Drosophila melanogaster: one gene and its partners. The protein of the gene in region 1 interacts with the protein of each later gene in a pairwise test. Each region holds a gene or a part of one and is shown in the gene's direction. Other genes may lie near its edges.

Region 1 (7,040 bases):
TGCTTCATGGCTATTTATTTTAGCTTCGATGTTGCAAATACACCAAATAAAGCATGTACTCCCCCTCTCCGCCAAAGTTAAACCATTAATCATTTGCTGCACTTTGACTCTTAACAAATTGATTAGCTTGACTTGATGGCCTGCCTTCTTTTTTTAAACGCATTAATATCTTCAATTTAATCATTCAATCCTATTTTATCAACTGGCGCATGCGTTTAAAATTAAACTAACTCATAAATAAGCGAAAATAAATACTCCTTATATGCAGGTGGAAACAGATTAACTTGATTTATTCGGACATCCCTTGCATGTCCATGTTTAATTTTGGAAACAATTGGTGAGAGGTTTTTAACCAGAAGTGACACAAAAAATCACTTGCAGATTAAATGTCACATCTGGATGATATTGAAAAATGCTTAAGCTGGGATTAAGTGTGCTGTGTCAACCAAATTGGTCGATTAATAATTATAAGAAAACATGTTTTTAAAAGTAAGCTGTACCTATTACGATTTCAAATCAATGTTTTATTAAAACTTAAATTTTATTTTTAAATAACAATTATATATTTTAGACATATCCATACTGTTGTCTTTTTTAATGTCAATAAATATTATTAGCCATTTCAAACTTAGTAATTGATAAGCGCGCATCCGCACAAAGCGGATTGTTCTTAGAATTCACAATGGGATCTTCTGAAGATCTCGTCATCCTATATCCGGCATTCGGTTTACAAACTTATACAATTCGTACGCATCAGGCATAATTATATCATATTTCCAAAAATTGAATGGCTCGCTTGGTCAGTTCCTATTTGTTGATTAATGAACGGCGAACGACATCGCCACAATGGGAAGAGGCTGCGATCGAAATAATCGACTTTTTGAGTGGCGATTCGGAAAGCTATTGAAGTGAGCGAATTTGATTGAAACATATAACTCATCATTTGAATTTATATCGAGCGCAATTCCAATAGCGGCTTGAATGAAACCAGGCAGGTGGAGCGAACACAAAGAGGTGTAAACAAGACGAGAGCCAAGTTAATACGGATATATGTATATGTTTATATATATTTGTATGTGAGTATCTTTGCGCGCTCGACTTGTCCAAAACGTTGATGTCCATCAAATCTTTTGCATATGATTAAATAAAACAATTAAGAGAATCCGTGCGAACGATTTTGGCCATTAAACATTTTTTTTTTAGCCATCAACTGCTCCGAAGCTATAGCTTGTGCGAATGTAAGCGTCGCAGTCGCCGTCTATCGTGTTGGCCAAGCTGCGTTTGAGCCGCAAAAGAGCGGCTTAGAACCCGTAGCTTAGCCAAACCAAAGCCGAAGTCGTGCGAATTTACAGACGCTTGCGCCGGCAGCGACGTCTTTTTGGGCAGAGGCGCAAAAAACGCCAGCTCTGTAATAGCCAGCGAAGAGCGGAGAATCTGTATAAATACCAAAAGGTTCTGCGTATTCCTCATTAGAGTTTCGGTTTTACTGCTGTGAACAAGCAACTCATCGGACAATATGGTACGATTCGACAATTTAGGAGCCATCGAATCGCCACTGAAGGACTAAACTAAACAAATTTCCCAACTGTCTCTTGCAGAAACTCTTCCTGGTCGCTTTTGCCGTGATCGCAGCCGTGGCTGCCGATGTCAGCCACCTGCCCTCCAACGAGTACCTGCCTCCCGTCCAGGAGCAGCAGATCATCGCCGGACCCAGCAACGAGTACCTGCCTCCCGTGCAGGCCGAGTCTGCCCCCGCCCATGAGCTGGCCGATGATGGCTACCGGTACAAGACCCACAAGCGCGTGGTGGTCCGCCGCCACCGCCGTGACGTCAACGAGCTCTTCAACGAGTACCTGCCCCCCTTCGCAGCTCCTTCCAACGAGTACCTGGCTCCTGCTGAGGGTGCTCCTGAGACCATCTTGGCCGATGATGGATACCGTTACAAGACCCACAAGCGCGTGGTAACCCGCCGTCACCGTCGTGATGTGAGCCACTTGCCCTCCAACGAGTACCTGCCCCCAGTCCAGGCTGCTGCTCCTTCCAACGAGTATCTGCCCCCAGTGTCCGCCCCCGTCCAGGTTGCTGCCCCAGCTCCCGCTCCAGTTCAGATCGCCGCCCCTGTCCAGCTGGCCGCCCCCGCTCCTGTCGTGGTTGAGGCTGAGCCCGCCCATGAGCTGGCCGATGACGGTTACCGTTACAAGACCCATCGTCGCGTTGTTTACCGCCGCCACCGCCGTGACGTCAACGAGCTCTCCAACGAGTACCTGCCCCCCTTCGCAGCTCCTTCCAACGAGTACCTGGCTCCCGCTGAGACTGCTCCTGAGACCGACTTGGCCGTTGATGGATACCGCTACAAGACCCACAAGCGCGTGGTAACCCGCCGTCACCGTCGTGATGTGAACGAGCTCTCCAACGAGTACTTGCCTCCCGTGCAGTCTGCTCCCTCTGCCGAGTACCTTGCCCCCCAGGAAAACACCGTCGAGGCGGCTCCCGCCCATGTCCTGGCTGATGATGGATACGTCTACAAGACCCACAAGCGCGTTGTGTTGCGCCGCCACTAAATCATCCGATAAAGGCTTCACTAGGTGATCGAATTGTGCTCATTTTTGAGTGCAGACCCTACTATTAGAATACCTCTTTTTCATTCAAATACAATAATACGATAACGAATCCATACATTCAGCTCTTTTTAATTTTATTATGTTGGGTGTACGAGCTGGGTGATAAAAGGTTATATGTATAGAATTGACTGAAGGAGGAATATATTCGGATAAAACATAAATCTTTGCGGATAATATATAAACCAGAGAATAATAAAAAACGACAAAGTTTTTAAACATGTATTAACCTATTTAAAAATAATAATTTAATGTAATAATATAAAAAGGTTTTAGGGCTAGAATATATTCATTATTTCACGATCTAATTATACACATAAGAACGTGGGATTAGAGAAGCAATATACACTTGACACATAATCGAAATTGAAATCTATTTATGCCGAAGCTTCCGCAATCTCATCTTCAAAAAGTTCAAGCCTGCTTAACGCTTTTAGACCATTTACCTACAAAAGTAAGGGTATGTTAACTTTCTTGGATGGTGTGTCTTTTTAATATGCCGTTATTAATTTAATAGGTTTTTATGACCTAAACGCTTATGTAATTTATTAAAATGTTATTTTATAGTGGATATATTATTTATATACGATTTGCAATTAAATATAGAAACGTTTTGTTAGCAGAATCTAGTTCGAGGAATAGAATTAATTACCCCGTTTTATTAATGTTTTCCTTCGACTCTTCATAAAAGGTAATTTTTCCAAAAGTGTATTCAGTTCATTTTGTTCAGGTTTTCTTTCAGCCGGTGATATACAATCGCTTTCGACAGTCACATCTATGTATTGTTTCGGCATTGAGGTCGTGATTTATTTCCGCAATTTGATTGCTTTTTCGGCAGTCATTTCGCTTCTTACCAACTGTTTTTAGCCTTTTCTCCGCTCCGCTATCGAACATCTGCTTTTATTACCCGAAGTCATAGAACCCGATTAGTACCAGTTGATTAAGCCACAATATAATTATCGACAATTAAGCAAATTGAGCTGGGGTGGGTCGGAATTGGGAATCGAAATTGGCACGCGTTTGGTCTGGGAGAAATTGGCAAGTGCGGATAGGGGAACAATGGAACCTGATCTTGGCCACTAAGTATTAACGAAATATACTTAAAATATTAAGTGGCCGTTTGGATGATTTGGCGGTTAGGCCGGGGGTGAAAGGGGGACTCCCAAATCGTGGCTCATGATCTCGCTGGAGTTGAGCAGAGCGCAAAACCCGTTGCAAACCTGCTTGCAAAACTATAATGGATATGTTTTGGCGGTGTCACTAAATACAAATTCATAAATTAAATAGTCAAATGCAAATTTCTCGCCGCAGGCCGGTGATTAGAATCATATAAATAAGCCGCAGAACATTGTCTAAGGCATCACTTCCACTTGCACTCTCCGTTCAACTGGACAGCCGAGCACCCAGCAAAATGGTATTAACCAGGAACGGTGCGCCATTAGGATAATCAGCTAATATGTGCCATTTTCTCCATTGCAGAAATTCTTCTTGTTCTGCGCCTTCATCGCCGCCGTGGCCGCTGATGTCAGCCACCTGCCATCTAGCCAGTACCTGCCCCCCGGCCGTGGAGCAGCATCGGCTCCCGTGGCTTCCTACTCTGCTCCTTCCCAGAGCTACAGCGTAGAGGCCTCGGCCCCAGTTGCCTCCTACTCTGCTCCCGTTGAGTCCAGCTACTCCGTTGCTGCTTCTGCTCCAGCGGTGTCTTATGCTGCTCCAGCTGTGTCCTACGCCGCTCCCGCCCAGAGCTACTCTGCTCCTGCTGCCACCTACACTGCTGCTGCTTCTGCCCCAGCTGTGTCCTACGCCGCTCCTGCCCAAAGCTACTCTGCTCCTGCTGCCACCTACACTGCTGCTGCTTCTGCCCCAGCTGTGTCCTACGCCGCTCCTGCCCAGAGCTACTCTGCTCCTGCTGCCACCTACACTGCTGCTGCTTCTGCCCCAGCTGTGACCTACGCTGCTCCTGCTCAGACCTACACCGCTGCCGCTTCCGCCCCAGCTGTGTCCTACTCCGCTCCCGCTGAGTCTTACGAGACCGCTGCCTCTGAGCCCGCCCACACCTTCTCGGCCAACGATGGATACCGCTACAAGACCCACAAGCGCGTGGTCCTTCGCCGTCATCGTCGTGGCGTGCCCTCCAACGACTACCTGCCCCCCTTCCAGGGAGCCGCTTCTGCCCCAACCAGTGAGTACCTGCCCCCAGCAGCTTCCGCCCCCGCTCCAGTCTACCAGAGCGCTGCCTCTGCCCCAGCTGTGTCCTACGCCGCTCCCGCCCAGACCTATTCCGCACCTGCTGTCTCCTACGCCGAGCCCGCCGAGAGCTACGAAACCGCTGCTTCTGCTCCTGCCCACTCCTTCTCCTCCAACGATGGATACCGCTACAAGACCCACAAGCGTGTGGTGCTCCGCCGTCACCGTCGTGATGTGAGCCACCTGCCTTCCAACGATTACCTGCCTCCAGCAGCCTCTGCCCCAGCTCCAGTGTACTCCGCCCCCGCTCAGAGCTACTCTGCTCCCGCTGCCACCTACACCGCTGCTGCCTCCGCCCCAGCTGTGTCCTACGCCGCACCTGCCCAGAGCTACTCTGCTCCTGCTGCCACCTACACCGCTGCTGCTTCCGCTCCAGCTGTCTCCTACTCTGCTCCCTCTCAGAGCTACTCTGCTCCCGAGTACTACAGCGGTGCCGCTTCCGCCCCAGCTGTCTCCTACTCCGCCCCAGCTGCTTCCTACTCTGCCCCAGCTGAGAGCTACGAGACCGCCGCCTCTGAGCCCGCCCACTCCTTCTCCTCCAACGATGGATACCGCTACAAGACCCAGCGTCGCGTGGTCCTCCGCCGTCACCGTTACTAGAGGCTCCAACGAACCCCCAGCGAACCGAGCCAAATCCTGTTATTTGACTCACGGGTTTCATCTGGGAAACGAAATTAATAAATTCATAAATAAAAAAAATATTGAAAAATACTTCCACTGCCTGATTAATTAATCGACTAACAGGAAACCCCATTGACGGGAGCCCCCTTATTTGCCTAACAATAATATTGCATAATAGAATAAGAAGTTTTGGCCACTAAAGCCAATGATTATCAGGCATTAATACCGAGCTGTCGTCAAGCGGAGACGATACAGCAACTGAAAAAACTAGTTCAAATCGAGATGCGGAAACTCGTTTAATGCTTCGAAATTAATTTTTTGTTCAGCAAGTGCATTGTCATCTGAAGCTTCAAGTTCAAAGTCAACCATAAGAAAATTCGAGGCATACTTTTTGGCCTTTGTAAGATTTATATGGATGTAGTAAGCATATAGTAAGTGTATATTTATGTAGTAAGTCCCTCGCGGCAGACTACAGAGTTAAAAAAAACCCAGTGAATTATGGATCTATTTTGTAAGGCAGACTTATTAAAAAATTTATCTTAGTAATATAAAAAGCCTCAATGTATAGCATTATATCCGTATCACAGAAAGACTTTTGTTATTCCGGCTAAAAAATAGCAGGTTGAATGATTCCAATGCTATCGCGTTACCGAAGTTTGAGCAGAATTATTAATTTCTTGTTGCCCAAATGTACTCTACTTTTCGGCAAGCCAGCACTATAAACTGCGATGTCTAAAAGTATGTGATTCGACCGAATTTTTAGTTTATTCTAGATGGGATCTGCTGTTTCACTCTAAGACTAGACGTCTTACCCTTCGACACACTGAAAGAAAACAGTAAGAACATAACATTCACATTGTCATTTTTAATTCGGCAGCATTGCGTAATCGTTAAAACATAAGTTTTAAAAACATATTTTAATGACTAAGTTCGATTGGAGATTCCGCAGGCAAGATCCCCGGTAAATCATTAATAATAGTTATTAAATAAAATATTACAGTAGACTACAATTATTCAATTTCGTACGTTCCTAAGGATCACTATGCGCACACAGAGGCAATTGTGTCATTTAATCAGTGATGAGAGGGCCAATCGACGGATGAGTTATTCAAAAGTCGAATGCGATGGCCGGCTTCGGGTAGGAATAGCCCGCCGACTTGGGAGCGGGTGGGGGAAATGGAATGACTGGCTTAGGGTAGTCGTAACCCTGCTTCACCTGAGGGGGTGGAAGGTACTTGGGAGTGGGCGGGCTGGTTGGCACAACGGGTGGAATGTACTTCTGGGGGGGATTCGTGGGTGGGGGGAATGGAATGGCGGGCTTGGGATAGTCATAGCCCTGCTTAACTTGAGGTGGAGGAAGGTACTTGGATGTGGGAGGAGGTGGAGGTGGTGCTTGTGTTGTGGTCACTGGTGGCAAGTACTTCTGCGGTGGGGCAGTGGGTGGCGGGAATGGAATGGCGGGCTTGGGATAGTCATAGCCCTGCTTAACTTGAGGTGGAGGAAGGTACTTGGATGTGGGAGGAGGTGGAGGTGGTGCTTGTGTTGTGGTCACTG
Region 2 (7,742 bases), on another chromosome or scaffold:
TTGCAACGTGTCCGCTGTGCTCCGGATTTACGAGTACAGCATGCGCCGCATGCATGTGGGACACAACGATGAAATAACCCGAAGATTCATCATTAAGGAGACTGATGTGATAATGCTAAAACTTTTTCACAATTGCTTACTATTCCTACGCCAATCGGGCCATACTAACTGGATGTTTGCTCTGATTCGTTTGTCTATGGAGTTGAATTTCCCCTACCTGACGTTCGAATGCCTACAAGCACATGCAGGAAGAGAAAAAGCATTGATTGGATTCGAGGAAGTGGTGCTGCGTTCGGGAATGCCGATGCCCGAGATCTGGACGCGTGTGGAGCAGCTCAGACAGGCATACTGCTTCCTGCCGTTGAAAGACAAGCTGGCTTCGTCGACTAATGTCTTCAAAAACAAGATGAACGCCGAACGATACTTTTGCAGCGACAAACTTGTCCCATATGTACACGCACTCAAGTCGCAGAATAATCGTCTGCACCTGGTGCTCGTGGTTGTTCAACTAATGAAATTGCCCCTGATTCGCAGCGCTAGTTTGGCGGACAAATTGAATCCTTGCATCGAGGACTTCGGCGAGTCTGAGGCCATTGAAATGCTTTTCGCTGCCATAGTAGATAGGCACTCCTATGCAGTGGCTTCGTTGCAATATCAATTTGATGCAGCCATGATCGACTTAGCCAGAGAGATGTCCGTGACGCCCAGCTACATGCCGCATCTTGTTGGCCATAAACTGTATGCGGATACCGTGAGTAATATGCTACTCAAATGCGTCGAAGTCTTTATCGGCGAGGAGTCCAAGCGACGATTGTTGCTTATTCTGTATTTGCGATTCCAAAAACTATTAATAGTGCTGCACAAGTCCATGGGCAAGCTAACGAAAAAATTCTTTAAGGATAAACGAACACGGATGCGCAAACTGATCAATTTGACGGAGAACCGAAATGTTATTAGTTTCTACACGGAACAGGCCTTGTGCGAAATTGAGGCTAAGCATTACCGACTGGGCTTTTCCATAATTTCGAGGATCATCACAAAAAAATCGGAAGAATCCAGCTGCATTAGTTGCGTGGACACAATGCATCTCTATTTAGTTTGTGCAGAATTGCATATACATAGGGGCCGCATATCTAAGGCCATCGGCATACTCGTTTCACTGTGTTTGGAAAAACATGCCGGAGTAAAGCAGACAACTGTCTACTCCAAGGAACAGGTTTTGAAAGGCCTGAGAAATGCAGAGAAAATGGTGCGAGCGGAACTGAAATCCCTCGATACCCAGCCAGCTGAGATGTCTTTGGAGGAGTACTTCCAGCCCAACAAATTGCTCATCCTCTTGCGCGCTATCTGTTTGATCGAAGTGCTGAATAATCGTCGTCATAAGGAGGCTAGAATGTGGCTCAATGACCTGCAGAATAACGAATTTGGTCCCGAGGCCGTCAAGGACAGCGAAAGAAAGCGTTTCCTTAGGGAGCAGATCATGGAAATACAGATGCTACATCTGCGTTTGTCCTTTTTAGTATTTGGCGAAGTTGAATTCTATACTGGATTCAAAAAGATCAAGCTACATGAACTGCTCGAGAATGGACTCGAAGAGTTTCCACGAAATATGGTGTTTCTACAGCTGTGGGCCAGCTTAAAATCGATTATGTGGCACAAGCAGCGTAGCCGGCTCATACGCACCAAAGCCGGCATCGCTTCACTGGCGCACTTGGTCGTTGCGATTCACAATCGCTTTGGAATCGTAGATACCAACGATAAGTTTTCAAAGGAAGCCACAAGGAAGATGGTGTGCAATCGTTTGGTCAGCATTGTCGAGACTTTTCTCCCGACCAATTTAGATCGTTTGGATGTGGAGGAAGAGCATTATCGCATACTGCGCAGGAACTCCATCTATTGGCGCTTGTACATGATTGCCCTATCCAAAACGAATGCCTCGTTTAGGCGCAGCAAAGAAGTCCTTATAATGGCCATGGACGAGTGTCCCTGGGACAAGTCACTACTGATGGAAGGCGCCAAGGTTTTGCCAGTGAAACTAGCATCGCTACAGGACCTGATGACCGAAAAAGAGATTCGCATTTTCGCTATGCCCGAGGAAGTGGACGTCTTGAGGGGCTTTTAAGTCGCTTTGGTTTTATTCGTTTGTTTTGAGGTTATTTGCCATTCGGGCGACTCGATAAGTTCGCATCATAAATATATTTATTTCTTCAAACAATCTAGTTCTGAAGTTTGCTTCAACTTTAAGTTAACTGGCGAAATTGCGATAAGCTGTTTGCAGTTATATGCGTACATGCATATTTTACTACATATATCCTAAATCGCTTATCAGAATTGGCTCACTAACAAATTCAGAATTAGCGATTTTGCTACTCAAAAATACTCGCCGTTCGATTATGTTAAAAAAAAATTCCAACACTTTATCGCTCGTTGCTGTGCAAGGAAACCAGAGTCGCATATCGAATGTCGGAGATTAGTCCAACTTCATCTTCTGGCCAATCCGCTCCCCCCGAATCCAGCATTTTCTTGTGTTTATTATTTTGATTGTGTTTATCGCAAGATAACCGAACAAAACTCATAAGCCAAAACAGCGCCGAAAGAATCACTGCGCACCTGAGGTCGCAATTGTAGCACCTGGAAGCTGTGAGACGAACTAAATACAACATATTTGTTATGTCATTTTCATATCGCTGAAATGAAACATATATTGCAAATAGCTTATTTTTATATTACTGAAATTTAAAATATATTGCAAATAGTTTATGGTTCTGTTTATTTAAATTTATTAAATCATTTAAATATGCAAAAGAAATTAAGAAGTTTTCTACATTTGTAAATTACAAATAAAAATATTTATATTCCTATTTAGCTATGAGTAGTTTTAACAGCTAACTTGTTAAATATTGATAAATTTAGATTTAATATGTACACATTAAAGGATTTGTATTAAATGACATGAATGATATTGACGATAAAATGATTGATATTTTGTATGCGATCTGTTTGTGTGACCGCAAGTGTGGTGGCCAAGTTGCGTGAGCGCGAGCGAGACGGCTGTGGCTGAGTGTTGACTCGTCTCGAATGTTGCGTATGCGCCCTGTCTGCCCAGCCACTTAAGACTCCTGTGCGTTACTGTTGCTCTTTGGAAAAGCGTGGAAATCGGGAGAGGAAACGCTGTGATTGGGCAGAGGGGTAGTGGGGATGAAAAGCTCCGCTCGCCGAAACGCATCGAAAGCTGTCTGAGCGCGAGAGTCCTGGCTGCTGTCCATTCGCACGTCCGTCTGTTCGCCTGCTCGTCCACCCATCCGACATCTTTGGACCGGGCTTCATCGATGGCAGTCGGTCGGCATCTGTCCAAGTCCCACGACGCGTTGTCGCTCCGCATCGGCCGTTGCTGCAGTGGAAGCGGCCCGTTTGGCCAAGTGGCGTCTCCGTAGTCCCTAGTCTCATGGCGGCGGAGTCTCCTCTCAAGGTTTCCCAGGCACTCCAGACCGTTTCCAGTTCCTAGGTTAGTGCTAGAGCTCGGAATATCTGGCCAGTATCAGGCCAATCCATATATAATAATATATACATACATATATATATATATATGTATATATCGCTATAACGGCCGAGTGTTTTTTGTTCCATTTCGTTTCGATAGCGAGTGTAATTTTTTTGAGAGTGCTCCCCCGTTCTAAGTCGTGTGTGTGTGTGTGTTTCTCTTCCTGTTTGGGTGTGTGTGCTGCGATGTCTCTGTGTTGGTGTAGAGCAGAAGCAAGAAGAAGCAGCATTGTGTAAGACGCCAGCGTCAAGTTCGTAGACTAAACACCAACCTTCTTTTGCGGCTCTACTCTAGCAAAGGGGAAAAGCTTTTCAGAGAGGAAACTCAGAAAATGAGAAAACGATAGAGACAGAGAGCGCAGAGAGTCAATGTGCACTGCTAGAAAATGTGGGGAAAACCAGTTTGCGAGCATGCGATTCGTGACAGTTTGCATATTTTTTAAGCATCTTTATCTCAGATTTCCAAATCTATAACTCAAATATTACTAAATTTATTACAGATAAGTGTAATCAAAATAATTGATAGCTTATTATTATTATTATATAATGCTTCCTTGGAGATTGTTATAAACAGAGGAGATTCAAGTGATTTTTTGTGCAAAACTCTAGTTTTAGCAACGTTTTCTTTTTTCCCGGTGTACTGGGTGAGCATGAACTCGCCGAGGGTTTCCCGGCCGGAAACCTTAGTCAAGGTCTCGCCAGCTTTCCAACGCAGGTTGTTGCTGCGCTCTCGCTCACACTCGCTGCTGGTGGGCGTTTGGCCAATCGCCATCTCTGTCGCACCGCTGTCGGTGACGAGCGAAGCTTTTATTGTATATTTCATCTTTCACGCTCTTTTCCCTGCCATTTCTGCTTCTTTGGGGCAGCGGCACCTAGAGCGGGAGCGGGAGCGGAGTGGAGCGTGAGTGGAGCGTTAGCTTTCCGGGCAGCTGATTCGCGCTCGGCTCGGCTCTCCGCTGCCGTTGCCGCTGCCGCCGTCGCTGCTCCGCTCGTCGTCTGGCTGATTAGTTTAGTTTGTGATTTCAATATATGTAATTAATTTTTGTTTCTGTAGCGGTACGGACGGACGCGTCGCGACGTTCGCTTGGTCCGCTTGGTGTTCGTTCGGTTCGCTTGGAGCTTGGAGTTCGAATTCGGTTCGCCAGCCGTCGCTGTTTCGTATTTATTATTATTTTTTATTTTTTTTTTATGAGTATATTCGTATTTCGCATTTGTATCTGAATGTTTCTTTGGCTCTGCGTACGTGTGTGAGCGATTGTGCGAGTTTCCTTCTCTTTCAACTTGCCTTTTTCGTGGTCGCCGCCGCTGCTAAAATGCAAAGAACACGCTCGAGCAACGTAAATGGCGCCGCGTTAACGAATGGAATTGGATTATCAAACAGTGCCCCCCAGAGCCCCATATAAAAGTTGAAAAAAAAAATAAAATAAAAAACAAAACGAGGAATTAAAACCGAAATAAAACAGGCAACAAACAAACTTCGTTTTGACAACCCCCCCGCCTTTTTTTTTGTTTGCGTGTGTGTGTTTTGTGCCAGTGCTTGTGCTATAGTGTAAAAAAAAAAGTTTGAAACAACAAACCAAAAACGCGCTCGAGGGGAAATATTATCAAAAAGGTAGATGGCGGTGACCTTAAATCATATAGTAATTATAGGGCTATCTTCCAGTTGGACAGTTTCAACAACCAAACGTTGGTGTATGAAAAACTCCAATTATCCTATTATACGACTAGTATGTATATTCATAAGCCCAATGGGGCTTAAATACCGCTGTTGGTGTGTTGTTGAACAAGCTTGAACAAGTATTTTTTTGTGCTCTACGTTGGTGCATTGGAGTGTAGATATAGTTTCAACAACCGACCAACCACCAAGCGCAAAATTAATATTGTTGAAACGTTCGAGCTTAGCAGCTGTTGGTGAACCGTTGTTGGTGTATTGTTGAGTGCGCGGCATTAGATGCTGTTGATCAGAGTACTTTTGGTACTCTTGTGATCCTGTTTCATTTCCGTTTTTGTTCACTGATTTCGATGTTTTCTTGTGCAGAGAATTGGTTTTATATGGTGTAGCCTACGAGTACGAGCATATGTGCTGAAATCAGCGGCGCGTGCGCGCATTTTTGCGCGATCGAAACCCGAGAACGATTCAGTTTTTTGTTGAGTTGGGAAAAGTTTCGATTTACGAAAAACATTCCCACTGTCTGTGTTTGTCATCCTTCGAAAATCTGCTTAGCCAACATTAACGTGTTTGCCCATCCACAAACACATACAAATGCATACAAAAAAAAAACTATCACATTCGCATCGACACAATCAATGAGGCAAGACAAATAAAATTAACATATTAATGAATTTCCAGTTTCTTTTTTCGACTTATTTAATTTTTTAATAAGAAAAGAAAAAACAGAAAAACAAAACAAGCGTGAAGAACTCGAGTCTCTCGACTTCGGCATACCCAAAAAGCACGAAAGCGGGAAGTGTGATTATGGCCAAAATTCCAGATCTGCGCTTTAATGGGTGTGCGAAGATCAACGGATTCCAATGAATATAGATGTTATATGGCGGAGCACTTTATGATGGGTTCTTAGCCTCCCTTGAACTTGTGGGCAGCATGGAAAGAGTGCGATGGAACTGAGCTTTGGATGATAATAGCAATAAAAGTAAATATAAATAGCCCAGCATCAGGTATTTGTTGGCAACAATTTTTCAATGATTTACCAGTTCCGAGTTCCGATCAATAAAAGTGTTTTTTTTCTGTTTTTTTTTTTTTTGCTATTCGGTTTGGTTTTTTCTTTCCAATTTTTGTTTTTTGTTCGGCTGCTTTGCTGCTGCTCTCAAGGTTTTCTGTGTGCTGTTGCCGATGGTGATGATGGTTATGATGATGATGATGATGATGTTGATGATTTTTGTGTGGATGTTTTTCATTTTTATTATTTTCTCTGTTACTTTTTGGCTTTTGTTTTGTTTTATGTTTGATAATTAATTTCTACGTCGCATGCTGATGTTGGCAATTCAAGTGAATTGAAAGAGGGGGGAAACTGTTAAAAATATATAAGTGTACAAATCTCAAGGCAGTTTATAAATATTTTAAAAAATCCATAGGTACATTGGGTAGCTTTTAAATTATAGCCAAAGCATAAGTTCTCTAAAAAAAAAACCATATAATTTGGATGTCTGTTTCATTTTTAAGGACAATAAAATATGCAGTCAATTTCCCTAGCATTTTTCTTTCTTTTATATTTTTTTACGAGTTCGTATATGTAAACATATTTATTTATTTTTTTTCTAACTTGTTGTTCTTGTCGCCCTCATCAAATTTTTTGCTGACGTCGCGTCTAAGAGCGATCGCTTTGGCTGAGCGGCGAGCGTTCAGCGTTCAGCGTTGAGCGGGCCAAGCGGTATAGAGAGTCAAAAGCTCGTCGCTTAAATGTGAGCAGGGGGGCCTGGTGGGGAGAGGGGCCAGGCGGTATTTTTTGTGGAGGGGCCAAGACGCTCTAAAGCTGCGGGAAAAGGAAAGCCGAACCTGTACTGAAAGCGGACCTAAGCAGCGGCAATTGATAACCTAACCTAGACAATAAAAACGACCGCCAACCGATGGCGACCCCAAGAAATGACGTCCACTACTTGAATAACTTGGCATTTTAAGTTAAATATTTAATTTTCAATTAAATGTGTCAGATTCTCTGGGCAGTCAAGCATAATTTAAGACAGGGAAAGTTAGCCGAGAGAAATGGAATGCCAAAATGAGCGAGCTAATGGTACTACTTTTTTTTCGCCACAATTTGTATTCTAAAGTACAATCGGAAAAACTACATAGAATGGGAAAATATTTCAAAAATGCTCGCGTATATTTCGAATTTCTTTTGAATAAAACACAATGTAAGCTATCATAAATTAAGGGCAATCAAATCGAGCCGCAAAGAATGTGGACTGCCAAAACACAAGTTTATCGATAAATCGAATCTTAATTGGAGGCGAATTTAGCATGCCTGATTGGATCGCATATAGCCGAGATAGCTTGACGCCATCTTAGGCAGCTATGCTAATTAAATCGATTTGACTTAGATTAGCCACGCTTGCCGCGGTTCACATGGCGTATGTGCAATAAACGCGGCTCACCATAACGCATACGCCGTGTGGCCAGGAAAATGGTATCCCTTTTGGAACGCATAACTCTCTATCCAGCTATTTCATGCATCGTACAGCGGCCT
Region 3 (7,146 bases), on another chromosome or scaffold:
CCAGGTTACGCAACTAGGAGGAAGAGTTGCAAGTGGAAGGTATCGCTTTCAGCGGAACCACAGGTATCGAATGACATCGGGGTGGCTTCTTATATATGCCCAAAGCGTCAGGGCCACTGCAAGCATTTGCAACAGACAACCATATTGAGCAGCATGTTCAGGTTTTTTCACCTCGACATCCTGGTCAGCCTGATCAGCCTAATCAGCTGTTTTGCATTGATGAACGCCCAGCAGCAGCAGCAATTCCACCAGCAGGAGGTATCGGGGATACAACTCCACCCACCATGGCTGTACTCGATGCCCTGGCGTCCTTTGATCCTGCCAACAGCCAGTCCTTCACTACCTTCTCTGACGGCGCTGGCTCAACTGAGTCCTGGCTACACGGGCCCGCAGACCTTTCCTCCAGTTCCACAGGATCAACGCCAGCAGACGCAGCAATATCAGCAACATCAGCAACAGCAATTCCAGCAGGCATATCCGCAGCAATACCAGCAACAGCGATACCAGCAGGAATATCCGCAGCAATACCAGCAACCCTCCGTCCTGGTGGGCTTATTTACTCCTCAACTGCAGGCCCAGCCACTGTCAGCTCCTCCTCCGCAGGCTGGACATTTTAGCCTGCCCTTCAGGCCCTCGCCCTTCGCCGGATACACGGATGACGGAGATGAACATATAGCCCAAGGGCAGGGCAACGGCATGCCAGAGCAAACGTCGCAGCGGACACTGGAGGAGCCGACCTTCCATGAGCATGTCTATAATAATAAGCCAGTGGCGGAGGGATCGCAGCACCCAAGGGGCTACGTCTATCTATCGCCTAGTAATGCCTATAATCTAGTAAGAACTTAGGTTACAGAGTGAACATAAATGTCTCGTTCTTTGTGTTAGTTCCTAAGCTATTGAATACCAAATATCAATCAGTACAATCAGAAACTATAACGTGAAGAAAAGTCAGGCTCTTCATATGTGAGTTTGTGGAGTTGTATGTGGATACCCAGCCCAAGTCAAAATCCGAGTCAAACCCACAGGTTCATTTCCCATGGCAAATTTAAGCGCAGCTTTGTCTCTGGGTAATGAAATGCTGGGGATGACTCCCCCACTCCGGGAGACCGCTGTCTTTGAAGGCGGCCGACTTTTGCCATGGGCGGGCTGTGCTGTTGTATGTCTGGCAATTTGTTGCCACTTTCAAATGCCTCAATTACAATCGTCTCGCACAAGTCGCAAATCGGTGAAATTATAACTCGATCGACGTGGCAGGTGTGACCTTGGCAAGCGGATTGCGCAACTGTCTGAAGGGCGGAGTCTTAGCGGCTGGCGGGCAATTACATCAACTAAAATCTCAGCCGTGGCACACGACTGTTGACCAAAGAAGCGGGCCTAGAGGAGTACCGGCAGCAACTAACCACGCCTACCAGACCAGTCGAAAGCCCGGAAGGATACCTTGTATACAATGTGTTCACTACCATTACCATTACATTCAAATGAGTCCTCTAATAGGAGGATTCTCTCAATTTTTTCATGGTAATATTTGTATGTACACCAATTCCGAAATTGGAATCAGCTTGTTCTGTCATAGATTTGCATGTCCAAATGCCAAGTTCTTAGTTACTAATCTCGACATGTATGGGCTTAAATTCCACTGTGATGAAGAACTGCCCTTGAAGGCCGTCTGACGACAACACAAGCAAGACCGGCAAGGTGCACATCATTTATCTTCCATGGTCGTGGGCTGCATGCAGATATATCGCAAAGGTTTCGGGCCAAGTCCATTAGTAGCCATGGGTTACCGGTGCCGTAGAGAGGGGTCGGGGTCAAAGGGGCACTAACATACCTCAAACTATTGCCAAATCATCATCATCTGCGGCAGAGACCCAAATTAAGATCCCGAACGGTAGCAAAACAAATCGCTTTTCGAATTTCGAAAAAAAAATCGCGCACCTGGGAAAACAGCAACAATTACGAGGCGAAGTAGGGTGCACAAGAGAGACCCAAGAAGAGGAAGAAGGGATACCAGAGGAGAAAGATACGGGTTGTTGTAAATTAAATGCAATTTACGCACAAACTAAGCTGTTTTTGGGGAAATGTAAGTGAGCCAGCTGAGGAGGAGGAAGTGAGAAGAAACATGAACACAACAGGGCCAAAATGGCAAGATGGCAAGGGGCGTGGTAAGCAGACATGTGATTTTTAAAAGTGTCACTTGAACTTGAGTGGTAACACTCGCACAGTGGGTAAAAATGCTATTGAAAATTGAAGTCCAAACAGGCTTATAATATAAGGATATATAATATTATAATATAATACTGATCTTTATATCGAATATATTGTACATACGTATGTACAAAAACTGTAAGTATCAATCAAAAACTCACTCACTTTGTTTTGCCCAGGATCCACAGACGATGCCCACTTCTTTCCACAAACCGTGGACCCTTTTCCATCACTAGGTGGTAACTTGCACTCTCCTTTTACGCCTTTCGTTTCATCTGCCTGCTTCATGAAACGCGGGGCGCGGGGGAAACCGAAGCCGACGCGAGAACCGTTATAATCCACAAGCCTTGAGCAAGTTGCAAATGCGTAGTTATCTATATTTCAGATGAACCAAAGCGATCGCTAGAGAGCCGTTATATTCCGCAAGTCGCAACAAAATTATGAATTCGTAAATATCACTATTTCAGCCACAACTTGTACAAACGTGTTCCTTGTTTAGTTTAAGTAAATGCTTTTATCCCTGGCACACATTTCCCGGAGCCCATACAATATATGTAAGTTGCACACGCTGATCGCAAATCAAACTAACCAAAGCGACAGCTTCGCGCGAGAGAGAGAGCAAGGATGTCGTTACAGTTTGAGAACATTGAGAACAGTGAATGTGCAACCGTAACAGTTTTATGACTTGGAAATCTAAATCGTTTTTTAATTCGAATAATGCTGTAATATAGTTTTAAATATTAATGTTTTAAATTCTTTATTTTTCGAATCTAAAAGACAATTAAATGTATAGCGTTATCAAGAAAATCTATTTTGTATACATTTGTTCAAGTCGTATGTATTTTTAAGGAGCTAGGTCACACCATTGAATATTTATGCACACGTGAATTTAACCCACTGTGCGCAAACGAAACTAAGAGTGAGGGAATGAAGAAAGGCTGCAGCGCAGTCGGAGTCGGCGTCACACACGAAATACCGTTGTTTTTCGCGTGCGTGAGCGTGAGAGCGACAAAAAGAGAATGCCAAGAGAGCAGCATGGCAAGAGGCAAAGGCAAAAACCGAGTTTCTTGCAGTTTGAAGTGGCTTCTTTAAAATGTATAAAAGGGTCGGCACTCACAGAGTTCGTCAACATAACGCCAACGGCAGCGATTAGAGTCGCGTCTCGTCTCGTTCTATACTCCGGATCCAACGTGAGGAACAAGGATAACCGATAACACGATCGAAGGATAACCGTTAAATTCACTTTTTTTTCCGTGATTTTTGCTGTGACTTGAGCATGAAACTACCGTTAGCTTGCGCTGTGCTAAGCTGCTGCTTCTTTTTGTTGGCAGCCGCCTCATCTTCTCCAGCTGCCGATGCTTCTTCTTCAAAGCCCGCTTCATCTTCGGCTGAGACCTCATCCTCCGCTAAGCCAAAAAGAGATGCTGGCCTAAGTTTCGGAGGAATATCCAGCTATCACGGCCCTTCTCACAAATATCTGCCGCCCGCCTATGAGAGTCACCTTAACCTCGGCAGTTTCCATGGAAGCTCGGCTGGTTATTCCGATTACCCCAGTCACTTCAAGGGCGAGAGCAGTTACGGACACCACTTCGCACACGGACACTCCGGAAGCCACGGCTACGCCAGTTCCAGTGGCCATGGAAGGCCCCATCATTACAGCGGTAGTGGAGTTCCTAAAATCGAAACCTACATCGTTCAAACAAGTGGCGGCTCGAGTTCCGGTCACAACTACCATGGTCAGGGACATGGACATGGAATCGGTCACGGGATCAGTCATGGAATCAGTCACGGCCTGAGTCACGGGCATGGATCTGGATTGGCCTTTAAGTACGCACCATCTACCAGTGGAGCCTATCTGAATCTCGTTGGGAATGAACACAAGACCAGCACATATGTGGTGGCCACTCCCGAGTACTCCGGACACAGCCACGGAGCGAGGGGCAGCACCCACGGAATTGGCTACGGATCGGCACCAGCCCACAGACCCAGCTACGGTGGCCACCTGCAAAGTCACGGCTATGGCAACAACTTTGGCCATGGCCCCAGCCATCACATCGCCCATGAACCAGTCAGTCACGGACCTATCCAAAGTTTGGATCACGGTCTGGAGCATGCCTTGGAGCACGGTCTGAGCCACGCCCTGGGATTGGGTCACTCTTCGGGAGGACAGTTCCCACAGCACGCGCTGCCCCAGCCGGCGGAGGAGCATTCTGGGTACTCCTACGATGCTCCCGCCACGCCTTTTGGAAAGGGAGTGCCGTTGAGCAGTTACGGCGTACCACTCATACCCGGCTACGATCACCAGGAGTCACTGCCGGAGCCAGTGCAAGTGCAGGTGCTGGAGCAGGAGCACAAGGGCGATCGGGAGCAGGAGAGGGAAACACCGGTTTATGCTCTGGGCCACAAGGGCCTGGGTCACTTCAGCTACACGGCCAGCAAGCCACAGGCTCTCCACACCGACGTTCTCAGCTCTGCCCACCACTCCGTCCAGTCCGGAGCACCCAGCCACGACCTAGACGTCTCCAAGGCGCCTTTTAGGCCCAGTGCCTTTCTAGGGGCCAAGCACGAGTCCGGATCGAATTCCATTTCCGGCTACGACTACGCCACGCCCAGCTCCACATTCCTGCAGGCTCCTTCTTCGCCAGGCTATGACTACCAGGCTCCGGCGCAACTATACGGACCACCCGGCCACTCCGGGGACTCGGCCACGCCTATTTTCGAACCGGAGGCGACCTACCTGCCTCCTGCCAGCAGCTACGGCCCAACGGCCGCGTCCTCCCATGGTTACCACTAAATTATTAAACTAGTTTTAAGCTCTAGCGTCCAATGTATTTTTTTATCCCTATCTATTTGGTACTGCAAGCCAAGATGGAACAATAAAAATCAAGAAATCAAGAGTCACAGTGTTGAAACAATTTGAAAAGGAAGGAAGAAAGAGTATTTGCAAGTGAGATAGTTATGTGGAAAGAAAGTTCTAAGCAGTACAAACTGATGGGTTTTACAATAAAATGAAGCCACTTAATAGGCCAAATGAAAATGATTTCTTTTTAAAAGCGAAATGGAACTTTCTCAACTTCTCTTCGTGTGCGGAGGCTCCTCCCTACCAACTGGATAGATTCCAGGCTATTGGAATGCCGCACACGTCGCAGATTTTGGCAGTTTCTCTCCGATTTGTGGTTACAAATTGGTTCGATTTCGGATTTCGCTTAAAAATTGTGATTCGCATTTGATGCGTGAAACTATATCAAACTAAAGAGTGGACGGCTGTCGTGGGAGGCGTGGAGCAGCGTAGGGAGTGGAGCTTCCAAAACGACGCTGGCATGGCAATGAGTCGAATGGGCTTGGGCTGCCCAGGCTAACTGAATTAGACCTGCTGAATTAGAATACAAGTTAAAAGGAGGCGTCTTGAGTTCACAACGTGTTCACAACGTGTTCACAAATGCGATCAAGTGGATGCCATCCGCTGGTTCCGCTTGCCTATCCCCCAGTTGCACCATTCACCGCCGCGTGATGGATGGTCAACGCACTGGCCGCCGCCTCTCACTCTGCTTCCATGTTAATCATAACTTCAACTTCATCCCATTTTCCATTCCAATCTCTGTTGCGCAATCTTTGCGGTTCGACCAGTTCGGGCATTTGATCCTTAAGTCGCTGACCTACATCAAAGTACACAAGACACAGCGAAAGTGAAAGGATGACAGCTTGATGGGCTCTGATCGCCTCGTCTCAAATCGGATCGGATTAGTGATCATGATCATGATCATAATCTCCTCATCTGGAAGGCTCTTGGATAACTTGACCCACGCTGAGAAGTGAACTTGAGCGCCTGATTGAGAATCACATTCGCTGCGGAAGTGGTCAGAGTTCGCCCAGCGAGACGTGGCTTAGGAAGAAAAGGAAACAGATCTGCATAGTTTTCCATGGTTTTCCAACCTGACTCGAACTCATTGTACTGAGCCATTCAGACCCCCTGGGGTGGGAAATAGTTATTTCTGTGAATGGGAGCGGCCAAGCTAATCAGACATTAGAGATCAGAGACGATATAGTTCGAGATATAGAACATATTCCACAGGCGGCTGTATATGGAAGGCCTTTGTGGAGGGTTCCGGTTCCCTGCTGGGGTCACACCACTAAAGTCAGAGAGTCACTCGGACTGGGGCTGAGGTAATCCCCCAAAAATATATTTTCGGGCAGGGTCAGGTGTTATGTAAGCCCCCGCGGGCAATCTTCTTTCTTTCTTTCTTGGAAGCCTAACTGTGTCGACAAGTTCAGTCAGCCACAACAATTGAAAGGCCGGCCGCAGCAATAAATTAGATAGTTTCGTATGACAGTTAACAAAGGGCTGCAAATGTGACAGATGTGAACAATGCAGAGGGGGGGGGGGGGGGTTGAGTTGATAAGCTGCATTGGACAGCAATCGGTGGGCTGATGATAGATCTATTAACTGGGGAATCGAGAGCAGTCAAAGGCGTGGGTCAAATTTGCTCGCACATTAGCAGCGAAATGAGCCGTGAAAAAGGTGTTAAATAATTTCATTTCATCGTTATGGCTGTAACCAGTTGTTAATCCCCTACACTTTTATGTTTTCCCCGTCGCGATTCGGTTATTTATGGGCTTAACGCCTGATTTTTGTTAATTCCCAACCCACTCCGTGCGCTTTCTGGGCAGTGGTGGCAGGAGGGGCGACCGGCGATACCAACATTTCATTTCACATTTTTTATTAAAGTGCAAGAGCAGCAGCGACATTCACTTTTCATTCATTTCTTTGTTGTGTTGTTACTTTTTGACCGACGTCTCCGGTTCATGTTTTGCATGCGGTAATCATTTTTGCATGTTATCATTCATTAATTAATGGCGTTTTCTGCCAAAGCCAAGTCTGTAGATTCAATTTTTCAGTTTTCGACTCTTTCCGTACAATAGATACATATGTACATCTACATA

What was found.
Region 2: the proteins of CG11350 (region 1) and gce interact in a two-hybrid assay, tested with the Drosophila melanogaster proteins (one large-scale study listed by BioGRID).
Region 3: the proteins of CG11350 (region 1) and CG11382 interact in a two-hybrid assay, tested with the Drosophila melanogaster proteins (one large-scale study listed by BioGRID).

Annotation. Positions count from the first base shown.
Region 1 is NT_037436.4:4,478,815-4,485,854, forward strand, and holds CG11350 (uncharacterized protein), read left to right. Parts: upstream 1-3,994; 5' UTR 3,995-4,029; coding exon 4,030-4,032; intron 4,033-4,097; coding exon 4,098-5,465; 3' UTR 5,466-5,556; downstream 5,557-7,040. Other genes in the region: CG7465 (uncharacterized protein), read left to right, coding at 1,517-1,519, 1,599-2,561; CG13722 (uncharacterized protein), read right to left, coding at 6,595-7,040.
Region 2 is NC_004354.4:15,294,432-15,302,173, forward strand, and holds the start of gce (germ cell-expressed bHLH-PAS), read left to right. Parts: upstream 1-3,334; 5' UTR 3,335-3,505; intron 3,506-3,605; exon of another isoform or gene 3,606-3,786; intron 3,787-4,577; exon of another isoform or gene 4,578-5,152; intron 5,153-6,077; exon of another isoform or gene 6,078-6,191; intron 6,192-7,742. Other genes in the region: CG5877 (uncharacterized protein), read left to right, coding at 1-2,122.
Region 3 is NC_004354.4:1,206,616-1,213,761, forward strand, and holds CG11382 (uncharacterized protein), read left to right. Parts: upstream 1-3,354; 5' UTR 3,355-3,481; coding exon 3,482-4,999; 3' UTR 5,000-5,238; downstream 5,239-7,146. Other genes in the region: CG14624 (uncharacterized protein), read left to right, coding at 154-846.